Linked DNA regions of Macaca fascicularis. The protein of the gene in region 5 purifies or fractionates together with the protein of the main gene of each other region. This does not show direct contact. Links are inferred from orthologs where the notes say so. Each region holds a gene or a part of one and is shown on either strand. Other genes may lie near its edges.

Region 1 (3,500 bases), on a different chromosome or scaffold from region 5:
AGGTAAAGTGTCATGATGGCTACAATTTCCTTTCAAATAGTTGAGTAAAAAAGAGAGAGAATACATGTGTACACAAGTTCAATGTAACATTTTAACAACTTGATGAATACAGGTGAAGTAAACACAGTATTTACTAGTCTTGATTTTTGATGAATTGAAAACTTACAAAATGGACTTTCTGAAAATAAGATATAATGGGAAAACTGACATTTCTTCCCCAGGGATGATACTTACAGTACTAAAAAGATGTAAATGAAAATATTCCTGGCAACAAGAAAACTCACAGCAATAAAATACACCTGATTCTCATCTCTTAAATCTTCATAGTTGGCTGTTTTTATACTTCAGGGATTTTAATAACAACAAATACTATTTAGGATGTCACACACTGGAGGAATCATCACCCAAAGGAGGAAAAGACAGACTTCAAAAATCATAGATTCTTAAATGGAGGACAAAAGACCTGCAGAGGCTCCATGGAGTGGCTTCAAGTGGCTTCAAGAAACACACAGACTCTTAAAAATGAATGACAAACTTGCACATGAAAGTTGTTTTGAGAGGAGAATTCTACAGCTTTCATCAGACCGTTAGTGAGTCCTACAACTCAAAAAATATTAAAGAACCACTGTGCCCAACAAAAATAGTATTCAGGATATAATTTCATATGATATGTACCAAAATATTAGATATTTTAAGGTAATTTTTCCATAAGTTTCTTTTAGCTTTCTGATTGTAAAAGTTCTTAAAATAGTAACTAAATGATATTAATCTTTTCTTTTTTATCCAAATCTGCCTTGCCCTTGGAATAATTTTTAAAAATTACTGAAGAAACCTTGAAAAAGGCCATTTAAAACAATTTGAAGTTAGTAAAATTTTAGAAAGAATTGTAATTTCTTTTTACAACAAAACAAAATAAAACTTACCGTTGAGGTGGTGTCCGTGGGCTCTTGAAGACTGCAGCTTTAGGTCTGTTAGACTTGGAAGATTTGCACTTCACTTCATCTTCATACAATTCTGCCAAGGCCAACTACATAATAACAGGCTTGTTACAAAGTATAACACTAGGAATAACCTCTTAACTACAACTAGAAGTTATGTATAGAACATTAACTTAAAATTGAGTGGTAAAGGCTTTTCATGAGAAAAGCTGCTGCTTCAGATGATTCCTTTCTGAGATAAACTTACCACATCTCATTTTATGGAACTAACCAAAACGCCACATCTATTAGAATAACTTTAAGTTATAATAATTACTTGATTATTTTCAGTTAACTATTCAACAGTGTCAAAATCTGTTTTAGGTAACAAACCATTTTCAAATTTAAACCTAAAATTCATGTGCAATTCTTTTAAGAATTCCTGAAGATGTTCACACTAATGTCAGCTTCTTTCATCAGATCTCATAAAATAATTTCATTCAGCTATTCAAGTTTTCAAACTCCAAGCACATAAAACAACTTCAGAAGTATTCTATTTAAAAGTCTACCAAACATATATATTTCAACCTGTTTAGGAAAACAAGTTTCTGAACAATACAAGACCATAAATTTTATATGGTTTATATACCATTTAGAAAGTAATATTACCAAATTATACATTCTAGATATTGGCTGGATAGTTTATTTCAAAATGAAATAAAACTATATTTGTTCTTGAAATGGAATTTTAAAAAGTAGTAAAATATTTCAGTATTGTATAGAATTTTTTCCGACTTTTGACATCTTTGGATAACTCAACAACGTTCCTTAATGATCCTGTGGCTATTCAATTATAATTGGCATTACCATAATCTCTGGGTTGTTTTTTAAAAAAAACCCAAAACAAAAACAAAATAGATTAAAATGCTCCTTTTAGACACATAAATGATATTAAAACTACCTCCAAGAAGAACAGGGCATTGGGGCAACATTAATTCTTTAAAAATTATCTTAGTCAACTTTTAAAATATACACAAATAAAACAAAATGAAAGACTTCTAATTTTTTTCCCCCTACCCTCTCACATTCAGTAACATTCATATTTGTACCAGATTTGCTAGAAATATGAATCATAAAAGTGTTTGGTAATCTAAAAGGACTGAATTTAAATCCTAACTTAGGCACTTACTGTGTGATCTTGGGCAAATTATTTAATTTCTCTCAGCCTTAGTTACCACATCTTCAAATGTCTATAAAAAAATCACCACAGAGTCATTTGAAGGATTAAATAATGTATGGAAAGCACATTCACATGCTTTGTGAATATCTTCTAGTGATGGAAGAATCATATCTTCCATCACTAGAAGATATTATTCTTAAGTGTTTGGCAATGATTTTATCAGTATTTCCTTTTCCCCAAGATTTTTGTTTCTTCCCACAGTGTTGTATCTCCTTATGGTCCTTTATTACCCCATCCCCTCCAAAAACACAAAACAAAAAACAAACAAATGACAGAGGAGAGACAGACAGACATGCACATACAAAGTCTGATGACTAGGGACAAAACTTTTCAGAAATTTTACCTCCCTGAAATTTCTTTAAAGTAATACTATTTTATGGATTTCCTTCTGAGTTATGTCAGCTGTATGAATTACTTTTATGATACTCCTACTCTCATCAATGAAAATGTCATCTGTATTTCAAAGGCCCATTTCAGCTCTCCTTCACAAAACCTTTTCTAATTTTCTTAATGTCTTTTTTCAAATACTCATGGCACGTGAAACCCCAGTGACATTCATATTAAGCATTATGTTGTCATTACTTGTGTACTTTTGCTGTTTTATTTCCCCAAGTAGATTTTAAGTTTCTCAAATTGTTTCTAATATTGTATCTAAAAGGCAACAAATTCACGTTGAATTATATAAAGAACATAGTATAAACGAATCAGAAATAGATATAGACAGATTGATTTTAAATTGGGGTTATATTTGCTATATGTTTTTTGCTTTAACAAGATTTAAATAAATACTTTCAATCAAATAACAATTTTCTTTGGTGACATAAATTAAAAAAGCAAAAATGCCTCTGACCCCATGGAATGTGGAACACACATTAACAAAAGAGGAATATGAGGAAAATGATATTGAAGAGTCTACCTGGCTGAAAGATCCTACTTATTAATGGTACATCATTAAAAACTTAGAAAATGAGTGGTATTTAGAGGCAGTTGATGCCATATGGCATCATATGGCATAAGTTCATTAGTAAATACTACAAAGAAATTTAATTTATATTATTTAACATAGCAGATGATACTACATCAAAAGAGGAAATGATAATTTAAATTGATAAATATTAATTGAAGTACTGGTCAAAACTAACACAATAAAATCTCAAAACATTATTAAGAAAATGTTTCAATAATATGCAGAGGATAAACTATGTAAGTAAAGTATTGATAATTTTTCCTCCAGAATTTGAAATGTGAAGAACTTGAAACCTGAAAGCAAAGGAATTGGGTAAGAAAATCAAGTATACAGCATTAAAAGTACTGGAATTCTCAGCCTTAGAGTAACCAATTCT
Region 2 (3,500 bases), about 100 Mb from region 5:
GTTTATGAGGAAAAACAAACTGTGTGTAATAAAAATGTCTATGCAAAAGTTCACTTCGGGGTAAAAGGTATAACTATTCAACAGCATAAACATGTATTTTTATGGGTATGTTATAGGAAAGGAGAATAGCCATATTAAGAAAAACATTGATGTTGTATTTTATAAATCTGTTTAAATATCTACCTTTGAAGCCCTTTTATAGTATCTTACATGAACCAGGATCATATTTATAACCCAGGTACACTCAAGAGTGGAATCATGAAACATATTGTATCTATAATGTGTATGTTTATTATTAAAAAATTCAGGCTAGGCGCGGTGGCTCACGCCTGTAATCCTAGCACTTTGGGAGGCCGCAGCAGGCAGATCACAAGGTCAGGAGATCGAGACCATCCTGGCTACCAGGGTGAAACCCCGTCTGTACTAAAAATACAAAAAATTAGCCAGGCGTGGTGGTGGGCACCTGTAGTCCCAGCTACTTGGGAGGCTGAGGCAGGAGAATGGCTTGAACCCAGGAGATGGAGCTTGCAGTAAACCGAGATCGTGCCACTACACTCCAACCCGGGCAACAGAGTGAGGCTCCGTGTCAAAAAAAAAAAAATTCAAATAGGACATTTGTCAAGAAAATTTTAAGCATCGTTAATAGGTACTGACAGTGCAAAATGCACACCAATTCTATCAAACCTCAGCAGTTTTGGAGCTTCTTTTGGGATTGTTTTTGTAGCCTACAACAGAATATTTATATAATACTATGTAATACTAATGTTAATATTGATAATGACAAATTTTTCTCCTGCTGTGTCTTAAGAATTGTGGTTGCAAACACAAAAAAGCTAGTTAAAAATAATAGAGCTGGTAATGAAAGATTATTATACAGGACTGTTAGGTAGGAACTAGTACTGGAAAGTAGAAAGCCATTAGAGCCACGGCAGCTCCACTTTTTTCTGGGTCTATGTGGTCTCTTGCCTTCTTTTTCTTTTATTCTGCCGACAGATTTTTTTTTTTTTCTTTTTTCTTTTATCTTTTTTTTTGAGACAATCTCACTCTTGTCACCCAGGTTGGAGTGCAGTGGCACAATATCAACTCACTGCAACCTTCATCTCCTGGGGGTCAAGCGATTCTCCTGCCTCAGTCTCCCACGTAGCTGGAATTACAGGCACCCACCACCATGCACGGCTAATTTTTGTATTTTTAGTAGAGACGGGGTTTGACCATGTTGACCAGGCTGGTTTCGAACTTCTGACCACAGGTGATCTGCCCACCTTGGCCTCCCAAAGTGCTGGGAATAGAGGCATGAGCCACAGCACCCAACCACATTTTTCTTATATATTCTCATCAATACACATGTTCTGAAAATGACCATCCCAACTCTGAGTTGATATTCACTCAGCTAATATTTATTGAGTTTTTACTATACACACGGCATTTTTTCTAGGCACTAAGGATACAGGGTAAACAAAACTAAAGTCCTGTTCACATGGAACTATTCTGCTCCTAAAATGTTTACTAACTAAAAATACTCCTATCCAACGTCCAATGGATAGCCTTAGTCAATTAAGAAGTTCTTTTTAGGCCGGGCACGGTGGCTCATGCCTGTAATCCCAGCACTTTGGGAGGCTGAGGTGGGTGGATCACCTGAGGTGAGGAGTTCGAGACAGCCTGACCAACATGGAGAAACCCCGTCTCTACTGAAAATACAAAATTAGCCGGGCGTGGGTGCACATGCCCGTAATCCCAGCTACTCGGGAGGCTGAGGCAGGATAATCACTTGAACCTGGGAGGCAGAGTTTGCGGTGAGCTGAGATCGCACCAGCTTGGGCAACAAGAGCAAAACTCCGTCTCAAAAAAAAAAAAAAAGTTCTTTTTAGTCTTAGCTTGCTAAGAGTTTTTTTTTTTTTTTAATCATAAGTATTTTTTTATATCTGTTGGGATGTAACTTTTTTTTTGTTCTTTGTAAGTTCTTTATTGTAGTGAACTACATTGCTGGCTTTTAGAACACTTGGATTCAACTTGCTTATATATTTTTTTCCTTTTTGTAAATTTTAATTTTGATAGTTTTGGGGGAACAGGTTGTGTTTGGTTACATGGATAAGTTCTTTAATGGTGATTTCTGAGATTTTGATGCATCCCTCACCCAAGTAGGGTATACACTGTATCCAGTCTGTAGTCTCCTTTCCCTCACTCCCCTCCCACCCTTCCCCACTGAGTCCCCAAAGTCCATGGTATCATATCTTAGCTCCCACTTACAAGTGAGAGCATACAGTATTTGGTTTTTCATTCCTGAGTTACTTCACTTAGAGTAATGGCCTCCAACTCCATCCAAGTTGCTATAAAGGCCATTATTTTGTTCCATTTTATGGCTGAGTAGTATTCCATGGTGGATGTATACCATTCTTTAACCATTGGTTGGTTGATGACATTTAGATTGGTTTCATATTTTTGCAATTGCAAATTGTGCTGCTATAAACATGTATAACTTGCTTATATTTTATGTTGGCCAATAGATGAGTTTTGGTATCAGGTTTAAGCTAACTTCATGAGTTGGGTAACATTTCATCTTTTCCTATGCTCTTTATCAGGAAATTTCTGTAACTTAATGTTTGGCTGAATTTCCTCCTAAAATTATTTGTAGCCTTTAAGGAGTAGATCTTCAACTACCATTTAAGTTTTGTATATTCTGGGCTTATCACCTCTTTGACCAACTTTAATAATTTATATTTTCTAGAACATTGTTTTTATCTGGGTGTTCATATCATTAATATAGCTGTCTCATCCTGCACCTCTGCCAAGTAGTGGGTAGCAGTCATATCTAGTACTTTATACTATTATATAGTAAACATTTACTGAATTTTGTTGATCCCAATCTACTCTACTCCCTTCTTTGACCCCTTAGGTCTGAGTGTACGGTTTGCAGATATGCCTGGAAAATCAAGGAAGAAAAAGAAGAACATGAAGGAACTGACTCCTCTTCAAGCCATGATGCTTCGTATGGCAGGTAAGACAGGGAAAAAATAGTGAATCACCTTTTGGTGTATCCTCACGCTAATTGCTTTACATACATTTTTCCATTTAGTATCTCAGCAACCTTCAAGTAAGTAAGAAGTCCTTGTTTTACAAAAATAAGATTTGGAACCATCATATAGGCTGCCTGAAGTTACATAGCAAGTAAATGGTTGGGCTGGCATTTAAATATTGGTCTGTCTTGTTTTAAAGCCTGAGTTCATTCCACTATGCTACACTAATACAGATGAGTATAGAATAGTATTTCTTTCACATCTAAGTATTTTATTGAAGAAGACTATTTGGTTTTTAATTTTAAGAACACATTTATTAACCATGTGTATTCAGTCATTGCTGTTCTCCAAACTGTAAAAAAGTGAATCAACTCCATTTACTGAGTTTAAAATTTCTTTCAGGTCAAGAAATCCCTGAGGAGGGACGGGAAGTAGAGGAATTTTCAGAGGACGATGATGAAGATGATTCTGATGACTCTGAAGCAG
Region 3 (3,259 bases), on a different chromosome or scaffold from region 5:
GACAAGGAAATGGCAGAACAACTTTATGGACAACATATAAACTTGGGAGGACTTATACACTACAAAGCATTACGTGCTGGGATTTTAAGTCAGTTTAAGCTACATTCAAGCAAATTCTAGGAAGACAGAGGCTGAAAAGTACCAATAGAGATGCCAGGGCTGCTGGCAAAGAGGGTAACCACATTTCATCCTGGGGCCTCAGGTTAGAGAACCGTGAATTCTTTTTCAATTGAACTGACATTCCTAGTAATACGCTATGTTGTAAATGCCCTTCCAAAATAATCATGCCAACCAAGATGAGGGAAAGTTAAGGGTTGTATATACAGGCAAGAAGTAGGTTTGAGGACATTTAGGATTTCACTTTCAAGAAAGAAAGAACATTGTGCCACAAAGAAGTTCCAAGTGCAAGAGTTTGAACCTGAGGGGGTAATACAGGTGGTGTGTGTGAAGGTGGAAGGGACTGTGGGGATATGACAGAAGCGCCTGGTCAGGAAACGGAGCCAGGTGTTTTTACATTTTATTAGCTACAGTATAGATGCTAGAGCTGCCTCATTCCCTCCCCTCCCCTCCCCCCACCAAGGGGTCAGGCCTTGCCAGGAGCCCCTGCCTTTGCCGCCTGGGCCCGCTGGAACTCCTGCTGCAGCTGAGCAAGGGTCTCCCTCTGTTGCTCTGACTGCCGCTCAAGATCCCGGAGCTGGGATTCATATCGCTTACTAAAGAGAGACAAGGGAGACAAGTAGAAAGGGAGAAATTAGTAGGACTTACTAAGGAGGGTGCTAAACGCAAGAAAGAGATAGGTGGAAAACTTGAAATTAGGGAAGGGAGAAGGGGGGTTAAAAGGGAAGGAAGGGGTTGGAGGAACTGGAGGACTAGGGGCCACTATGGAGAGCTGTTCTGCAATGGTTCAACACCTCTACTCCAATGATTCACTGCATCACAGGGTGCAGCACACAGTGGTGGAATAAAGACTCACATTTCAGCTGTGATATAGTCCAGCCTCTTCCCTACTGTGGCCCGAGCCTCCCCCAGCTCCTGTTTGACTAGCACCGGACCCAGAAGTTTAAAGACCACGTTGGACCCATCCAGCAGGGCCAGTTCCTGATGGAGGGATGGGACATACGTGATCAGAACCATGGCTAGTACAGGTCCCTCCTCGCCCCACAAATCCCAGTCCCTCACCTCTTTCACGATATTATTTTCTGTTAGTTGTGCTTCAAGTTTCTGCCTCCCCGACATGGATTTACTCAAGTCTGGGGATAAGAGGAAAGGCAAGATTAGAAACATCAATCCTAGTCAGGTGGATATGGATCTGAGGAAGCAGAAAAAGATGGGGGCAGCGGGTCAGTGAATAGGGAAGAGTACTGAAGCGGGAAAGTCTCTGCACGCAAGGGCCCAGATGGGGCAACAAACCTTATCTCGGTAATGGCTTTGGGTTGTGAGTGCATTGGGCGAGGCCATACCGACCCTGCTCCCTTACCCTTCTGTAGCTGTTGATATTTCTCCACTTCTCCCTGCAGCTTCTTCTGGATCAGCTCCGCCATGGCAGGGATGAAAGCCTACGGGGAGCGAGACAAGGGCGCTGCGTCTCACTCTCTGGAAGGTACCTGAGCTCCCTTTTCTGATCTCGCCTGCGGAAATGATAGCACTCTTGAGAGGCAGCCCTGAGGGGCACCGCCACCTCCCCCCCGTCCTGGGTATCGACTCCACCCCGTCCCCAGGATATGGTGGGCGAAACGCAAGACCGTAAGCCTCTCAACCGAAATCCCAACCTATTCACGTTCTGCTTTCAGTAGTAATAAACCCGGAAGTAAACGAGGAATGCCGGGAAAAGACTGCGCCGGAAGTTTCTTTCTGACCCTTGATGGGAAGTGTAGTTCTGACATGTTTAGCGAATGGAGTTCTGCTACAAAGACTGGACTCGGATATTTTTAGGCAAGATGGGGAAACTAACCCGGAAAAAGAAACCGCACCGCTACTTAGCCCCTGGTCCCGGGCCTGCCTTTCTTTTGTAAGTCACTCTTGCATAAGCTGCCGCTCCCGATAAGGTGCCAAGAGCTCTTCCGCCCCTCTAAGGAAAGCGTGCCCTCACTCAAGATGGCGCCTAGAGAGCTTCAGACCTGGTACGCTGCTGATTGGATGAAGGATAGAGGGCTTCCGGGAGTTTTCAAGCCGACTGTGGGGCAGCTGAGAGAAGTTTTGCACGTGGATCGCCGTTCGGATGGGCGAGATGGAGACAGCCCCCAAGCCGGGCAGGGATGTCCCGCCCAAGAAAGACAAACTTCAGACCAAGAGAAAGGTATCGGCCTCCCTGGGTGGGAAAGGAAGTTTTTTGCTGCGGGGTCGGGGGGGCGGGGCGTGGGTGCGGAGTATCAGAGTTCCTGATCTGCTTGTAGAAACCGCGGCGATACTGGGAGGAAGAGACTGTTCCGACCACAGACGGAGCCTCTCCAGGGCCTCCTTGTAACAAGAAGAATCGGGAGCTCCGTCCTCAGAGACCAAAAAATGCTCACATATTAAAGAAGTCTCGGATCTCTAAGCAGCCTCAGGTCCCGAAGAAACCCCGAGAGTGGAAGAACCCGGAGTCCCAGCGGAGCTTGTCCGGGGTGAACGTGGAACCTAATGGGTGGCGAGGCAGGGCGCCTTGTGCTTTGAAAGGGTTGGGGTCAATCCAAGGCTGTCTACTAACTGCGTTCTCCTTTCCCCTAGGCCCAAGATCCATTCCCAGGCCCCGCCCCCGTCCCTGTGGAGGTGGTCCAGAAGTTCTGTCGTATTGACAAATCCCGAAAGGTGAGGTCCAGCCGGAGAGTTGGGAAGTGTTGGAGGCAGGGAGTGTCTGAGTGAGTTGAATGGAGGCTGGGCTAGGTAGCTCTCCTGTGACCCCACTTATCCTATGGTTCTTCTGCCACTCCTCCCCACCAACAATGTTATAGCTACCACGTTCTAAAGCCAAAACTCGAAGCCGACTTGAGGTGGCTGAAGCTGAGGAAGAGGAAACAAGTATCAAAGCTGCTCGTTCTGAGCTGCTGCTTGCTGAGGAACCGGGGTGAGTGGGCCCTAATCTGGACCCCCAATCCTTGCCTTATAGGACTGTCTTTTCTCGTTTTTATGTTGGTACACTTGCTTCATATTGGGAAACTTTACTGCTATCCTAACCCTTGCTTTCAGGTTTCTGGAAGGGGAGGATGGGGAAGACACAGCAAAGATATGCCAGGCTGACATTGTGGAGGCTGTGGACATTGCAAGTGCAGCCAAGGTGAGC
Region 4 (4,261 bases), on a different chromosome or scaffold from region 5:
TAAGAGTAACAGTGACTTCAGGAATAGACGTTTCATTCTTCATGTGGGAAGTCAAAACCAAAAGAACAATGTAAACTGAAGGGAAGAAAAAGTTTAATATATTTCCTGTGAAGATTTTCCATTCTTAAAAGCACAACTAAATTTTATTAATCCTCACAGAAGTAGAACATTACACAAAGGCACTGCCATCTGCAGGTCATAAACACGGACTGCTTGTAACGATTATTTAAAATGAAGTTTCAAACCATTAAATATTTTTTCATCATACTTCTAAAGTCTTTCCAAAAGTTGTTTATTCTGGCTGGACGCGGTGGCTCACACCTGTAATCCCAGCACTTTCGGAGGCAGAGGCGGGCGGATCACCCGAGGTCGTGAGTTTGACACCAGCCTGACCAACATGGAGAAACCCCGTTTCTACTAAAAATACAAAATTAGACGGGCGTGGTGGCGCACGCCTGTAATTCCAGCTACTTAGGAGACTGATGCAGGAGAATTGCTTGAACCCGGGGGCCAAGATCGCGCCATTGCACTCCAGCCTGGGCAACAAGAGCAAAGCTCCATCTCAAAAAAACAAAAACAAAACAAACAAGTTGTTTTTTCTTAGCTCTCAAGCACTGGTAGATGAGTTTCCATTTGCTGAAGTTCTGAAACGGACGCCGGGCTTAAATCAAATTCTCAGAAATGTGAAGAAAATGACCTTAGCCTTACGTAAATTCTACATTGTGATCATACCAAGGTAACCCCAAAGAAACATGTTTTTAACAGGGGGAGATACATATATATACACACACACACACATATACACACACATATACACACATATACATATATACACACACACACACACACGTATTTTTACGCAGCCTTCGAGGGGAGGGGAAGAAAACTTGAATAAGCCTGAACTGACTGATCCGACTTTCCTGTCAATGAATTAAATTAAATCTGCTCTTACATTCACATAAACAGATCTTATGAACACACTACTAACTTACAAATAAGTTAATCTGTCAATGCCTCCTTTAAACTTGTGGTGTTCACAGGTATGCAACATTGAGCAAACTGAATCTAGAAAAACTTCTAATGAGCCCTGCAATATGGATTCGTTACATATTGTATATTCTACAAGGAAAACCGGTGTTTCTAAGTTTTAGGTTAAAAGATGTGTCAGAGGTTTCAAAGGCCATCTGAAGAGTGACAGATGAGCTCAAGGAAAGGCAAAGAAATTACAGTAAAGGAAGAAATAGATGTTAACAAATAGTCAAGTGATTTTTTAATATCCACAATGCAAAGCATGGGCTTAACTGGTTGCAAAAAGTCGACACCAAGTTAGTTTTCACACCCAGACTGACTCATAGAGAAAACATTAAATTAAGAGTTGTCAAAACTCACAAAAACTTCCCCACCATTTGTAGAAACATCTTTTTATGAGCCATCCATCAGGGGGCTATGACATCACAACGCTGTAACTGAGGCACACCGGGTGCACTTGAGTGACAGTTCTTGCAGTTCCCTGGGACTAACACTTTTAAGTCAACAATGAGAATAGTTTACAATAAGAAAGCTGTTACAGGGCATTCAGAGAATCTGCTTTGCCTCAGGGAAAAATTTTGTGCACGGGGTGCAAGGCAGAATAACCACAATTAATCAGACACTCCTCGGGCAGCGTTTCCCAAAGTGTGGAACGCAGAATAATTTCAGGAGGAACAAGGACGCACTGTTTATTTCAACAGACAGATATTTATTTTTTATAAACATTAGAAAAATAACTGGCTTTCCAGTACCCGGTTTGTGATTGAAGTTGCCGCCTTAAATATATTTAAGGAGAAAAAAAGTGTCAGTTTGAATTTTTAAAAAAATGTAACATTTGGTGAATAGCGGTACAGATGGTCCACGGACATAAAGGTGCAACGCGAGACTGAAACGTGGGCAACGCCGTCCTAAGAAAAGCCCCTCGCCCGCTGGCGGGAAGCGGATAGTGCCCCGCGCCGGGAGCCTGGAAAGCCGGCCGGATCGGACTCTGGCGCTGAGCTACGTGGTAAACCCGGGCACAGTTCCTTTCCCCGTTCTCTGGGCCCGAGGTTCGCGCCTACAAAACGCGTGAGGTGTCACACGACAAGGAGACACCCCGAGAATGCGGTCAGGAGCCGCGAGGCGGTGACGGGGGACAGCGCTCCGTACACCGCTCGGCGCTGCACGCCTGGAGAACGCCCGGTGCCACGGACCGCCTTGCGGCCGGTTCGAATCCCGACTGCGCCACTGACTCGCTGAGGACCCGCGGGCGAGCGACTCCACTGTTTCGACAAGGGGGTGCGGGGCGTGCGGCTCAACCAGACAGAGAAGCCTTGAGGACTCCTAGTGACCGACCGTTCGTGCACAGACAGGCGGCTGCGATGCGACGCCGCCGACCTGCGTCCACCACAGAAAACCACAGGCCGCCTCGGCCGGCCGGGCCTGGGCCTGACGGGAACCGGAGAAGGCCGCGCCCCGCACCGGGCATGCGCAGCACCGCGCGCACCCGGAGAGGAGCCGAGGCCGTGGCCGCGCGTCGAGTGGGCCTTCCCGCCTCAGCCTCCCCGTCCGGCCAGGCCCCCCGCCCAACCGCCTGTCCGTCAGACCCACGTCTCGGCTGACGGCCACCGCTTCCCGGCACTCACCGCTACCAGCGCGGCGGGCTCCCGGCCGCTCCTTCGCCTCAGGCCCGCCGCTGCCGCCTCCGCGTCGGCCCACCTGCCCGCCGTAGGACAAAGGCGCCACCAACCGACCGGCGCGGGCACGAGGCAATGGCGGCCGGGCGGAGAGTGGAGATGGGGGCAGAGGACGCGCACGTAGCGGCAGGCGCGGCACTGTCGCAAGACCGCACGTGTTTACGGCAGGGCTGAGTTGGGGCGTCGATCTCCTTGGCAATGAGGGCCGGGAAGTGGCTCTCGGGCGGGAGTTGAGAACGCAAGGAGTTGCCTAGCAACAGCGTCCTAGGCTGAGGATGGGCCCCATGGTGGTCCCCCCAGCCCCCGCCCCAGAGTACTTTCCTTCTGTTTTCGGAGCACATTCCTTCCTCCCTAACTGTGGGAACAGAACATTCAAATCCCCAAATACCTTGATTTAGTCTTGCATAAAACTGAAAACAAAAACCCCAAATCCCTGTACACCCGTGTATTGGAGAATATATATATATATATATATAGTCCTGTAACCTCCGGATCACAAGGAACAAAGAGAGCAGAAAGGTAGAGAAAATGTTGTATTTAAATTTGTATTTAAATAGGCTCTGTACTCTTACTAGTTTCACTGACAAGCGGCAAAAGGTTTCTGGAGATATAGTCACAGGTTCTTCTTGAGTTATTTGTTCTTGGAATATTCGTTCAAACGTCAAAAATTTCCCAGAATGTAACTGTTGACCGTGAAGCCTGTAAAATGTTGTATTGTTCATTTCATCACAGGGAATGGGATTTGCTCACACAATAGTAAATGCACTCTATTAATCACAGCCGTAGCTATATGAATCAGGTACTCTTTTATTAGTGTTGGAAACGCCTCAAACTCCATGGGGTCTAGTTTTTCTCCTTGTGACTATTGCCTGCTAAGAAAAAATGGTGCCTGGGGAATTTAAACACTACAAGAAGCCAGATTTCTTTGACATCTACCCCCATGTTCACTCCACTCATTTATTCACTGAATGTTTATTACATACCTACTAGGTAGCCCTATACTTATTATATGCCTGCTTGTTAGGCACTATTCTGAGCAAATGCAGACCCTTCTCTGCTACCTTGGAGATTACAGTCTAGTGAAAGATAGCATTAGGCAAATAATCACACTTGAGTGTGTGATTGCAAACTGAGATAAACGCTGTGAAGGAAAGAAATAGGGATTCTCAGTGGGTGTAACTAGAACTTTACTCACAGGCAAAGTGGGTTATTCCAATTCCCACTTTATAAGACTGTATGAAATTAGAAATAAAGGCATAAAGTCTGTCAAATAATGGATACCCAACAAATGTTCATTCTTATTCCTTCCCCTCCAATATAGATCCTAATACTATGAAAATTTAAGAAGAATCATATTAATTAGATGATTAAGATAACCAAGCTTAGGGAAAAATGTTGGTTTAGAGATGATTGGCAGTACCTCAAGTGGGTAGTGGACTTTAGCCAAAAGATGTATTCAGTGACTTGTGTAGTAAGCGTTTAAAGAGTGTTTTCTATACACTTGGTTTTGTGGAGAGTAGAGGGTAAGGTAGATAAAATCCTTGTGCTTAGGGAGC
Region 5 (3,500 bases):
GCCCGGCCTTTGATTCTTTAGTTATGCCACAAACTCCAGTTTCTTCTCTTGCCGATTTCTGCTGGCCTCTCCATGAAAAATCAGTTTGCTTCCTCCTTTTGCCTCTCAGCACTTGAAGCGTGGGGCTGTCTCTTTCTCTTCTCTCTTCATATCCTCCCTAAGGCCACCTCAAACCACTAGGAACATCTGGGTCCTAAAAGGTTTAACCAGGGAAATCGTCTAGCTTCCAAATCCTAAGATTCTGAGCCATAACCTGTAATGCAGTTTCCCATTACTGTACATCAGACAGCTCCGATAGCAGAAATGGATCAACAAACACTCCTGTTTTACCCAACAACATATACCTCAGCCTTTTCATCACATTTGCAAAATTTAAACAAACAAACAAAAAAGAAATGGTAGTATAAAGTACTTATGTACCTGGAAAACAGGCAGTGGTTTTAAAATTGTCCCATGAAAATCAACATTTGAATACAACTTTTCATTTTAATAAAATTAATATATATAATATATATACTAAATGTCTGCAAGCCTTCAACCAGAAGCCACCTATGTCAAGGGCACTTTTATGCCCACAAGTAGACTGGATGGCAAATTGTATCTGCCTGATGGGAGAGAGGATGCTTGATCTATAAACTGTGTTGATGATCAAACAGGAGTCGAAACTGATACCAACCGACACTGATCTTCTAAGTCATTTTAAAGGCCTCTGCATTGAGTAGAAACTGAAACTGATGCAGCTAGTATCATTACGTTAGGATAGAAGTCACAACAATGAGGTCAAATGGATTTGAATTCATCAGTGCAAACATGAAAAGTATTTACTGGGCTAACAGTTATGTAAAAGGAACCCTTTCTTAACTCAAGAGTAACACTTGGAATAAGTATCCAAAACACAATGTTGCCTGGGTGTGGTGGCCCATGCCTGTAATGCCAGCACTTAGGGAGGCTGAGGTGAAAGGATTGCTTGAGCCCAGAAATTACAGGTTGTAGTAAGCTATGATCCTACCTCTGCACTCCAGCTTAAGGCTCTGTCTCAAAAACAAAAAACAACAACAAAAAAAACCCACCACATCTGCCTTGTATTTCACTACCTAAGGAGTAGTAACTGGCTTACTGGTACTTCTTTGACACAGAATCCCTGTTAATATCGAATATCTTTCCTGTACAGGTTCAATGGTATCAGTCAGTCCAGAACCCACAGAATTTTTGTCCCTGATCATTCCTGCCACCTCATCTTACCAGCTGGATCTCAAGGACACAGACCAAGCAAACATCCAGTAGTGGGAAAGGGTGGTAGTAGAAGGGCTCAGTCTGTGAATATAATCTTTCTAGGATGCACTTCTAACAAATGTGCTAGCTCACTGCATCTATGTGAACTGAGATGGAAAAACACACATCTGGAGACTCTAAGTTAGGATGTGGTCTAGGGGAGGGCCACAGGGACAACACTTTGCTGATCTCCCTATAATCATATTAGCAAATGCCAACTACCTGAAGTTCCTTAACCACCCCACCCCTTCACTCCAAACCTGAAACCCCTCCTGGCAGAAATAAGCACAAAAGGAAGGTGAAGGTAAAGATTCAAAACCTTTTCTGACGTAAAACCCTTTATCAAACTGATTATTTTCAAAGTTTTTTTTTTTTGATACGGAGTCTCACTCTGCCACCCAGGCTGGAGTACAGTGGTGTGATCTCGACTCACTGAACCCGACTCCCGGGTTCAAGCGATTCTCCTGCCTCAGTCTCCCAAGTAGCTGGGACTACAGGCATCTGACACCACGCCTGGCTAATTTTTGTATTTTTAGTAGAGACAGGGTTTCGTCATGTTGGCCAGGATGGTCTCGATCTCTTGACCTCATGATCCACCTGCCGTGGCCTCCCAAAGTGTTGGGATTACAGGCGTGAGCCACTGCGCCCAGCCTATTTGCAAAGCTTTAAGAACTGTGTTTTGTCAATAGTCAAATCAAAGTGCACCTTTAAATAAACAATCCAAAATGAGTCACAAAATGCGTAAAATACTGTAAAAATAATCTTTGTTCAGCACATTTTAGTTTTAGGAAAGTTATTGCCATTCTTCCTGGGTGCGGTTATGCCAGAGGAGAAAAACCATAATAATTTCAAAAACTAATTATTTACACATTGCCAAGATTCCATTTGCATGCAATGTTCTCTAGCAGACAAAAAGTAGATTAGTGGTTGCCTGGGGGCTACGGTGAGATGGTCGCGTTAACTATAAATTTACTACAAATCACTGAATTGTATACTTTCAACAGATTAATTTTATGGAATGAAATTACATAATAAAGTTGCTTAAAACTATTTAGAATGGTTCTCAGATTTCTACCAAGAATTAAGTTATCTGTGAATACAACAATTTACATCTTAAAGAAACCACTACCATGATCATTATTTCCTAATCTGATCATCACATCATAAAAGAATCCAAGACCTTATTTTATTATAGCGGCAGTGTTCTTTTTCTACCCAAGAGAGAAAAAACTGGCTGGGCGCCATGGCTCACACGAGTAATCCCAGGACTTTTGAGTGGCCTAGGTGGGCAGATTCCTTGAGTCCACGAGTTTCAGATCAGCTTGGGCAACAAGGTGAAACCCCATCTCTTCAAAAAAATACATGAATTAGCTGAGCGTGGTGATGCATGTCTGCAGTCCTAGCTACCTGGGAGGCTGAGGCAGGAGGATCGCTTGAGCCTGGGAGGCAGAGGTTACAATGAGGTTAAGATGGTGCTACTGCACTCCAGCCTGGGCTGTTAACAGAGTGAGACTCTGTTCCCCCACCTCCCCTAAAAAGCTAAGTTAAAAACAAGTTGATGAAATAGAAAACATGAGAGATGATACCACTGCATCTAAACTCTCACAATTCCTAACAGAAGTACGTGATAATTGTTTATGATAAATATCTTAATTTCAATAACTTCCTGAGATATAGAAAAGTACTTACATTCATCATAAAATCCATAAATTCTGTTGATGCTGGCACATTCATGGTTCCCTCTGAGAAGAAAAAAATTCTCAGGATATTTGATTTTGTAGGCCAGTAAGAGGCAGATCGTCTCCAATGACTGCTTTCCCCTGTCCACATAGTCCCCAAGAAACAGGTAGTTGCTTTCTGGCGGGAAACCACCGTACTCAAAAAGTCGCAGCAAATCATAGTATTGCCCATGGATGTCACCTAGAAGCAAGAATTTTGTTACACAGTGTTCCCATACTTACAGCTCAATCCACTAACAAAGCTTTAGAAAGAAATTCTTTAAAAATTCATTGTACAATGGCATTGACCTCTAGTAATGAGAGTTTAATTGGACAGCCAACACTAAGTAATTTCCAAACTGGCATCATATTTAGTTCAATTGAACTTAATAAAATTTTTAAGTATATGTGTATGTCCAGAACCTCACACAAAATTCAACTAATTAAGAATTTATTCTGTGGAAAGGGTTATTATGTCCAGGCATGCCTTCTTGCCAAGTAACATGGTAT
Region 6 (4,289 bases), on a different chromosome or scaffold from region 5:
GTGGTCTGCTCCGAGACCCCACAGACCACACGCTGGATGCCATCCACCCACACCTTCAGCTCCATGGCCGCCAGCCCCAACAACATCCCTGTTCTGTGGGGAGGGTACAGGCCACAGGGTCAGGACCTACCTACCCCTATCGAAGCCTGGTCCTCGTCTCTTCCTTCTCCTGGCCTGCCCTAGAAACGGCTGGGCTGCGACCCCTCCGCATGGGCCCAACCCTCCTGTGCCAGCCCCACCCGCCGGCCACACATTCCTAGGGTGGCGGCCCTCCGGAGCACGCATCCTCCCCCACTTCACCAGCCTACTCTTGCCACGCCCGCACTCCCGGAACAAGGAGAATCATTAACCAGATCCAGGATTTCCTGCCCGCCTCACCTGGCTCGGAGGGCACTGCCCCCTCCCCGGGCGGCGCGGAGGCGCCCGCACGCCAGGCCCCGCGGCCGCCGCCATGGGAACGCCCCACCCGGACCTGCTCAGGCCGCAGAGGCGCTCGGGGTCGCGACCAAGACCTCGACCCTGCAGATCGAGCGGACTCCGGGTCTGAGCAGCCCCAGCCAGCGCGGGGAGCCCCGCCGCTGCCGCCCAATCGCTGCACTCGCCCCGAAGGTCCCGGTCCCCGCGGCAGGCAGGGATGCCCGCGCCGCGACCCCAGCCTGGCGGGAGCCAGGGCGTCCCCGCTCCGCAGGGAGGGCGCAGGTGCGGCACCGCCCCCGCCCTCCGTCCCGGCATCGCGGAAAACTCTCCCCAGTTGGAGTCGGCGCCCTGCCGGCTAGAGGAGCGCCCCGCACTCGAGAGGCCCCGGGACCCCGCGCGGCTCACCTGGGCGCTCGCCAGCCTCTGTACCCGCTCAGGCGCCGCCGCAACCTGCCGCCCCCAGCGCCGCGGCGCGCCCCGGACCCGCGCCCCCATTGGCCCGCGGCCCGCACGCCCCGCCCCCAGCGCCTCTATTGGCTGCTCAGCGCGGGTGTTCCGCCCCCTTCCCCGCGCCCATTGGCTGTCTCTGTCACGCCCCTCCCCGATCCATTGGCCTGCCGCAGCGCCCCGCCCCCAGAGACTCCAGGTGTGGGCGGGTCGGAGGGACGGGCCGAGCCGCGGTCCCCGCCCCCACCTCCACCCGGCTAACAACGCGGAAACGCGGCGGCTGCTACCCGCGGGCTGCGCGTCGAGACAGGTGTCCGACCCTGCTCCTGGGCCGACTTCGTCAGCAGCCTTCTAGTGTGTGGCGGGTTCCCGCCCAGGGAGGGTCTCTGGCCTGGGATCCCGCAACCCCCGCCTGCGTTGAGGGGCAGAGGGGCCAGCCCCTCCCCTCGCTTCCCGGGCCAGCCTTTGGAGCCCACCGCAGCGGCAGTAGCCTGGACGCGCAGGGGTCGCGGGGTCGCAGGATCACCAGTCGCGGCAAGGGAGGTAGAACTCTGCGGAGCTGGCGGGCGCCGAGCCCTGGTGCGGGAGGTGCCCGCTCAGGGGAAGGCCCGGACTCTGGCTGAGGCTCTTCTCCTACACCTTCCTGCCGCTTTTGGACCCAGTGCCAGGCCTTACGCACAGTGAAGCTGGCTGGAAGCAGCTCCTCCACCCCCTACCCTACTGTCCCGCCCAGGGCCCCGCAGCCTCGCGGTCATTGATTGCCATTGTGGAGCATTGATTGCCAGTTCCGCCCAGCTCAGAACGAGTTATGGGCGTGGAGGGGTCTCCTGCCCGGCTGTCTCCTGTGCTCCGCTAGGGAGCCCTTACATAGTCGAAAGTTGCAGAGGTGAAGAGTGAATGAGTGAGGGCGAGGTGGAGGGTGAAGGCTGGAATGCTTGGGTCTTGTGGGTCAGGTCTGGGACCTCGTTTTTGTCCTGGAGCAGAGGGAATACGTGCCATGGTAATGAGAATGCCCACAGGGTCCCCTGAGGGTAGCCCAGAGTGTGTGGAGATGGCTGGGAAAGGTGAGGCTTCAGTTTGGGGGTTCAGGTAGGTGAGGGCCTGTCACTGAGGTCAAAGGAGCTGTGGGCTGGGCCTGGTGGTGGAGGCAGGTGCCTGTAGTCTCAGCAATTCAAGAGATGGAAGTGGGAAGATCACTTAAGCCCAGGAATTCGAGGTTACCGTGAGCTGTGATCACACCAAGGCACCTCAGCCTGGGCACCAGAGCAAGACCCTGTCTCTAAAAAATTAATTATTAATTTAAAAAGAGGCTGTGGGCAGGGGCATACTATTCCCAGTTAGCGTTCAGCACAGTCCCCAGCTTGTCACTGTTACCTGTCTGCTTCCCCCACACACCCATGGCTATGCTGGGCTGGCCCACAGGCAGTAGTGCCCCCATATTTATCCCGCAGGTGCTGCCAGGCTAGGTAGGGGATGCTGGGGCCTCCCTCAGGGTGCTGGCCACTAAGTGGTCCCCCCGCTAAGCTGAGCAGTGGCTCAGCCTCTCACACCTCCAAGCTGGGCTGGCCCAGCCCAGAACTCACCCAGGGGCCTGGTCTGGGGTCTCCCTGGAGGCTCCTGGTAACAAACAGCCCCTCCCTTTCTGGGTGCTGGTGTCCATGGCAACGGTATAGAACCCTTCCCCGCCAGGCCTGCTTGGAGGTCTGGCCTCAGGTGAGTGCTGGGGGTAGAGCCCTGAACTGGGGGTACAAGAGAGAGAAAGAGGGACACCACATCACAGGCAAAGGGCCAGCACCTGGGTGGCAGGGGGACATACCAGGGACATGTCAGGTGGTGACCTGCTGCCCCATCCTGGTCAGAAACACACGGGTGTGGACATCCACATGTGAGTCTCTTCAGAGAGCGACGCTCTGTGAGCAGTGGTGCCGCCTGGGCTGCTCCAACCTGTGTGGCCACATGAGGCACACATAGCCAGCTTGGGACCCCCACCCCTCCGCTCCTGAAGAACATTGAGAATGGCCCCCAAGTCTGGCCAGGGGGTTGAAGAAGCCGAGGAAGAGGCTCTCCTGTCCCCCACAGAGCGAGAGTCTGTCAGTGGTCACCGGGGACCTCCAGCAGGCGCACCTGCAGCCCCCGAGACCCCCACATGCCTGCCAGACACCACGCCCCACCCCACACGGGCGGCCTGCTCTGCTGACCTGCAGTAAGGAGGGGAGGGAGGAGTGGTGAGCCTCCTGGGCCAGGTGGCCAGGGGCCCAGCCTGAGTAAGCAGCAGGGGCTGCTGTTGCTGCTGCTGCTGCAGGTTGGCTCTTGAGTCCCTGGACCCTCGCACACTGCGGCTGCTGTGGAAGCAGCGAGAACTGGAGATCCAGGCCTTGCGGTGGGCCGTCCAGAATGGCAAGGACACCCGGCTCTGCCACATCCTGGAGGAAGTGGCAGGGATTTCACCCAAGAGGTCTGCAGCACAGTCCCCAACCAACCCAACCCTGCCCTGTCCTCGCCCAGACTCCTGGTTTCTGTCTGACCCCAATCCCAACCACTGAGTCAGATCCTTACCCTCATCCTCACCCATGCTGACCCTCCACCCTGATCCTAAGTTAACACGCTATAGCCTCAACCCTAACCCTGCGCATGTGGATGGGTGCTAGACTCCTGCCCAGACCAGCCAGAGGCTGGCTGGCCCCAGTGGGGCTGTACTGTGTGCCCTTGGGGCCGAGGTGGCAGTGGAGCCCCTGACCTGACATTAGGAACCCCCTGCCTGAGCGGGGTGAGGGCTGCTGAGGTCGCCCCTCCTCCAGGAGCTCCCACAGTCAGGAGAAGTTCCTGCAGAACCAGGTCCAGAAGCTGACCCTGGAGTTGAAGGAACAGAAAGAGCGAGCCCAGTGGGTGAGGCGGGGGCACAGGGAGTGGGCAGGGTCCTGGTGTTGGGGAGCCAGGCTGCGGCTGGCCTGGGGGCCTTCTGCAGAAGACCCCCCCCACCACCACCCACGGGCCCTCCCGGAGCAGGAGAAGGAGCACCTGGAGGAGCGGCTGTTGCAGACCACCCGCACGCTGCAGGAGGTGGAGGCCGAGCTACAGAACTTGCAGAAGTCCTGCCTCCTGCAGCTGGCCCGCTCCTCGTGGGTGGGCCGCATGCTACGATCCCAGACTGGCAGTGTGGAGGTGAGCCCGTCCCCCAAGCCCTCCTGCCCCAGGCTGCCCTCCCCAGCCCTCCCCCTCTCATCGGGTGCCTCTGCTGGGGTGCCCTGGCCTGCCTGGAAGCCTGCCCTGCTCAGGCTGCCTCTGGAACTCTGGGCTCCAGCAGGGAGGAATCAGGAGGCCTCAAAGCACAGGTGAGGTCAAAGAGAAGAGGTGCTGTAGGGGAGGGGTACCCTTCACCCCAGCCCCTGCCCACTGGCCTCTGGTCCCCTCTTGCAGGTGGTGAC
Region 7 (3,500 bases), on a different chromosome or scaffold from region 5:
TTTCTTCTATATTAAACTTCCTACATTAATAATGCTGCTTTTTTATTATGGGGGAATTTCTAAACTTCCAAAAACATAAGAACATATAGGTAATAAGTATTTTTTCTACCACCATTAGAACCATTAGCTTATCATATTTTGGTTTAAACATAAGTGTGGCTCTCATAGGTTAAGAAATTCCTTCTGATAGCATAATATGAGCCATAGTATCTTGGTCCTTTAACAACACTACGTAACATTCCTATCTCAGATCCTTGATGATGGACAGTCTCCCAAACACAGTCAGTGTCAGAATCGGGCCGTTCAGGAATGGAGTGTGCAGCAGGTTTCTCACTGGTTAATGAGCCTAAATCTGGAGCAGTATGTATCTGAATTCAGTGCCCAAAACATCACTGGAGAGCAGCTCCTGCAGTTGGATGGAAATAAACTTAAGGTAAAGAATTATATGTCTGTGTTAGGTTACCAGGTATAACTTGTATTACTCAAAGCACCTAAAATGTTTTCATTAGATAAGAGCACTCTGCATATCTGAGAGGTAATTCTCATCAACATTCAGCAGAAAGGATGTTGAATTCTTTCTGAGTAGTAAATGAAGTTTCAGAAAGTCCATCAGGGGTTCTAAATTAAATGGTAGGCTGCTGATTAGGAAAGCGAGGGACCCACTCCATTGCTTCCACCTGGCAACACATGGTCCATATATTAACTCTCCTTCCTTCTGATGTAGTGTGAGTTTTAATCATGGCCACTGTGGACTTTTTCATCACGTTAGAATTAAGACCCAGATCCACGACTCTTCTTTTCCTTGTTCATTTCTCCTTCACCTCCACTCTTCCTTACACACCACTCCCAAACTGGGATGATGTTTTCCCCAGAAGTTTTTTTCTCCAAGTATGTACACACATCTTCCCTCCCCTCCATGGCACTTTCATTTCCACTTGTCCAGTCCATCCCCCTTAGAGACCAAGGTGGCATCCATTCCTTTGGGAAAGGGAGAAAGGAGCTTACAGCCAACTCCATGTAACCCCAAGCTCCATGCCCCCGCCTCAGCCCCCTGCTGGGCTGACGGGCAGATGAGTATCTCTTGACAGTCTTGAAAAGGTTAGAGATCAATCAATAGCTTGTGAATATGAAGGCCCCATTGACAAGGCTGTCCCTGTTGGGGAGATAGATAGATGCATCCTGCTGTTGATTCTGAAGGTCACGAAACATTTAAAGTACATAAGCAACTCCCCTTATTCTGAATTCTAAGTTCATCGAGCAACCTCCTCATTATAATCAAGCTTCCTTTATAGGTCTACCTACAGGGAAAGAATGGTTAGTCATGCTGACACGAGCATTCTGGCCCCAAAGACACTTTTGGTTCTCATTGTAATGAAAACATTGGCAGAAAGGAAGCTGTTTCAATTCTTCTTGCCCTTCTTGGAGCCCTCTGTGACAGCAGGTGTTCACTCCTATGCTTTGAAAATATTGATGAGTTTAGCAATACCTTTACCTATAAATGTCTACAGCCTAAAGGTCGGAGAAGTAGAATTGTGCCTTTTTTCCATTCATTCACCCATTAATTACTAATTTGGAAAGCATTTAATTAATGAGCTTTAGGGTATACTTTGCAAGGGACTTCAAAGAACAAAAGAAAAAGGGTAGCCCCCAGTGTGTTAATTTTTAACAAACGTAACTAGCTCTTCCTCTTTTCTTATCTCTTTTATGTTTGAATTAGTTTACAAACTTGAACATATGGTATATTAACATCATCAGAGGGCTCACTGGTTTTCAAATTCAGTTTGTGTGTGTGTTTCCTTCTTAGGCTCTTGGAATGACAGCATCCCAGGACCGAGCAGTGGTCAAAAAGAAACTCAAGGAAATGAAGATGTCTCTAGAGAAGGCTCGGAAGGCCCAAGAGAAAATGGAAAAACAAAGAGAAAAGCTAAGGAGAAAGGAACAAGAGCAAATGCAGAGGAAGTCCAAAAAGACAGAAAAGATGACGTCAACTGCAGCCGACGGTGCTGGTGAGCAGTAACACATACCCTCTTACTGAAGATGGAGATTATCCAAGAGAAGTCCCCACCTCTTCCTGCCCTGCTCTCCTCCAGAGGATGAAGAAGAAACTAAATGATAAGGGTAATGCGGCTCTAGGCCGGCTGAGGAACCGTGTGTTGAATAACTGCATTTTCTGCAATAGAAGGCACTCTTAATTTTAACTACTGACATAGTCCCAAGCCACCTTTGATTTATTAACAAACCAGACATTTCATTTAAGTAGCTGTGTTTTGCTCTTCTCTAACTTAGCAACATCTTGTGTTGTGTTGGGTGTGTTTTGTCACTTGGAGAACTAGCTTGACCCCACCCAACAAGAGCATGATACACCCTGGTGTTGTTGATGGAGCACTGTGAATTTTCAGTTTGGGATCCTGAAATGGCAATTGCACTTGTCTGCATGGCAGAGAGCACCCTGCCATGAGATCTGGACCAGTACTTACTTCTAGGGCTGCAAAACCTACTCCAGTGTGTGGGAAAGATTCACTCTTAATTCTGAGTCTGGACAGTAAGACCACCCTGCTGTGGAAACATGGATGCTCTGCTCCATAGTTACCTACTAAGGGAAAAGGCAAGCAAGCCATTCTGCTTGCTAGGCATCAAAAAGAAAGAAAAGAAATTATAGCTATTTGTTAACCACTGAAAAAAGCAAAAGCCTTAAGATTGTGTATGTGAGTATTACCTTAGGTTCTGAGAGTAATATTTATCCTCTAGATATAGCTGAACACGAAAGAAAAAAAATCAGACATTAATGCAGCCATGGGATATTGGGATCTGTTGACCTTGCTACTGTTGTGTGTTCAGCATCTCAGCAACACTGGCAAACACAACACAGTTCCCCTTCCCCCCACCCAACCCAAGAAATTGAACAGGAAATTGATTTTTAAGGAAACCACCATTTTCAGGTTTCCTCTCCTGGGGAACATTCTGGCTGGTCTTCAGCCTGTCTATGTCACAATCAGGAACTCATCACATAGTTTCTACTCAAGATTTCCCAGGTGGGCTCAGTTAGTGTTTTAACAAATGTACTTTTAAGAAAAGTAGAAATACCAGTTTGAGGAAATTTAGATTTGAATAATATTCAACTGGAGAACCAATTTTTTTTTTTAGTACAAAGAATGTTCCTATAAAGAAGAACTGTCAGTTAACATTTTAGGGAGATTTTGAATGGTTTTTCTGAGCCATTCCTTTCCATACTTTAAAGATTTCCAATTTTACGGAAAAAGTTTGTTTAAGGCAGTGCATAGGATACACTTTAGTAGTGGAGGAACTTATACTAATTTTAAGCCAGTATTAAGGATTTCTGTATTTCACCAAACTAAGTCCTAAGTGCAGGAGACTGGGGCAGAAGAAGGAGAAAATAAACTCATTTTGAGAAATTTCGTGTGATGAGGGTTTTTTGGGTTTTTGTAGTTTATGCTCATGTATCTGGTTCTCTTTGCTGCATTGACTCTAAACTGAGGTTA

The links.
Region 1: the proteins of PPP1CC (region 5) and UBXN2B purify together in Homo sapiens (affinity purification with mass spectrometry; 3 studies listed by BioGRID and IntAct, with this or other methods). This does not show direct contact. The link is inferred for Macaca fascicularis from reciprocal best matches to the Homo sapiens genes PPP1CC and UBXN2B.
Region 2: the proteins of PPP1CC (region 5) and WBP11 purify together in Homo sapiens (affinity purification with mass spectrometry; 4 studies listed by BioGRID and IntAct, counting the BioPlex papers as one, with this or other methods). This does not show direct contact. The link is inferred for Macaca fascicularis from reciprocal best matches to the Homo sapiens genes PPP1CC and WBP11.
Region 3: the proteins of PPP1CC (region 5) and PFDN6 purify together in Homo sapiens (affinity purification with mass spectrometry; 4 studies listed by BioGRID and IntAct, with this or other methods). This does not show direct contact. The link is inferred for Macaca fascicularis from reciprocal best matches to the Homo sapiens genes PPP1CC and PFDN6.
Region 4: the proteins of PPP1CC (region 5) and NCOA5 purify together in Homo sapiens (affinity purification with mass spectrometry; 3 studies listed by BioGRID and IntAct, with this or other methods). This does not show direct contact. The link is inferred for Macaca fascicularis from reciprocal best matches to the Homo sapiens genes PPP1CC and NCOA5.
Region 6: the proteins of PPP1CC (region 5) and RASSF7 purify together in Homo sapiens (affinity purification with mass spectrometry; 4 studies listed by BioGRID and IntAct, counting the BioPlex papers as one, with this or other methods). This does not show direct contact. The link is inferred for Macaca fascicularis from reciprocal best matches to the Homo sapiens genes PPP1CC and RASSF7.
Region 7: the proteins of PPP1CC (region 5) and PPP1R9A purify together in Homo sapiens (affinity purification with mass spectrometry; 6 studies listed by BioGRID and IntAct, counting the BioPlex papers as one, with this or other methods). This does not show direct contact. The link is inferred for Macaca fascicularis from reciprocal best matches to the Homo sapiens genes PPP1CC and PPP1R9A.

Annotation. Positions count from the first base shown.
Region 1 is NC_088382.1:68,400,521-68,404,020, reverse strand, and holds part of UBXN2B (UBX domain-containing protein 2B), read right to left. Parts: intron 1,028-3,500; coding exon 924-1,027; intron 1-923. UniProt on the Homo sapiens protein: Adapter protein required for Golgi and endoplasmic reticulum biogenesis. Involved in Golgi and endoplasmic reticulum maintenance during interphase and in their reassembly at the end of mitosis.
Region 2 is NC_088385.1:17,569,815-17,573,314, reverse strand, and holds part of WBP11 (WW domain-binding protein 11), read left to right. Parts: intron 1-2,893; coding exon 2,894-2,995; intron 2,996-3,416; coding exon 3,417-3,500. UniProt on the Homo sapiens protein: Activates pre-mRNA splicing. May inhibit PP1 phosphatase activity.
Region 3 is NC_088378.1:138,412,978-138,416,236, forward strand, and holds PFDN6 (prefoldin subunit 6), read right to left. Parts: upstream 1,802-3,259; 5' UTR 1,770-1,801; exon of another isoform or gene 1,629-1,769; 5' UTR 1,542-1,628; coding exon 1,478-1,541; intron 1,251-1,477; coding exon 1,180-1,250; intron 1,099-1,179; coding exon 974-1,098; intron 714-973; coding exon 584-713; 3' UTR 501-583; downstream 1-500. Other genes in the region: WDR46 (WD repeat-containing protein 46), read left to right, coding at 2,219-2,296, 2,394-2,603, 2,707-2,787, 2,931-3,043, 3,166-3,253. UniProt on the Homo sapiens protein: Binds specifically to cytosolic chaperonin (c-CPN) and transfers target proteins to it. Binds to nascent polypeptide chain and promotes folding in an environment in which there are many competing pathways for nonnative proteins.
Region 4 is NC_088384.1:102,138,004-102,142,264, forward strand, and holds the start of NCOA5 (nuclear receptor coactivator 5), read right to left. Parts: upstream 2,801-4,261; 5' UTR 2,655-2,800; intron 1-2,654. UniProt on the Homo sapiens protein: Nuclear receptor coregulator that can have both coactivator and corepressor functions.
Region 5 is NC_088385.1:117,610,167-117,613,666, forward strand, and holds part of PPP1CC (serine/threonine-protein phosphatase PP1-gamma catalytic subunit), read right to left. Parts: intron 3,193-3,500; coding exon 2,962-3,192; intron 1-2,961. UniProt on the Homo sapiens protein: Protein phosphatase that associates with over 200 regulatory proteins to form highly specific holoenzymes which dephosphorylate hundreds of biological targets.
Region 6 is NC_088388.1:454,470-458,758, reverse strand, and holds the start of RASSF7 (ras association domain-containing protein 7), read right to left. Parts: upstream 2,801-4,289; 5' UTR 2,681-2,800; intron 870-2,680; exon of another isoform or gene 379-869; intron 94-378; 5' UTR 87-93; coding exon 1-86. Other genes in the region: LMNTD2 (lamin tail domain-containing protein 2), read left to right, coding at 2,880-3,067, 3,167-3,319, 3,663-4,026, 4,282-4,289. UniProt on the Homo sapiens protein: Negatively regulates stress-induced JNK activation and apoptosis by promoting MAP2K7 phosphorylation and inhibiting its ability to activate JNK.
Region 7 is NC_088377.1:126,051,346-126,054,845, reverse strand, and holds part of PPP1R9A (neurabin-1), read left to right. Parts: intron 1-250; coding exon 251-433; intron 434-1,804; coding exon 1,805-2,017; 3' UTR 2,018-3,500. UniProt on the Homo sapiens protein: Binds to actin filaments (F-actin) and shows cross-linking activity. Binds along the sides of the F-actin. May be involved in neurite formation. Inhibits protein phosphatase 1-alpha activity.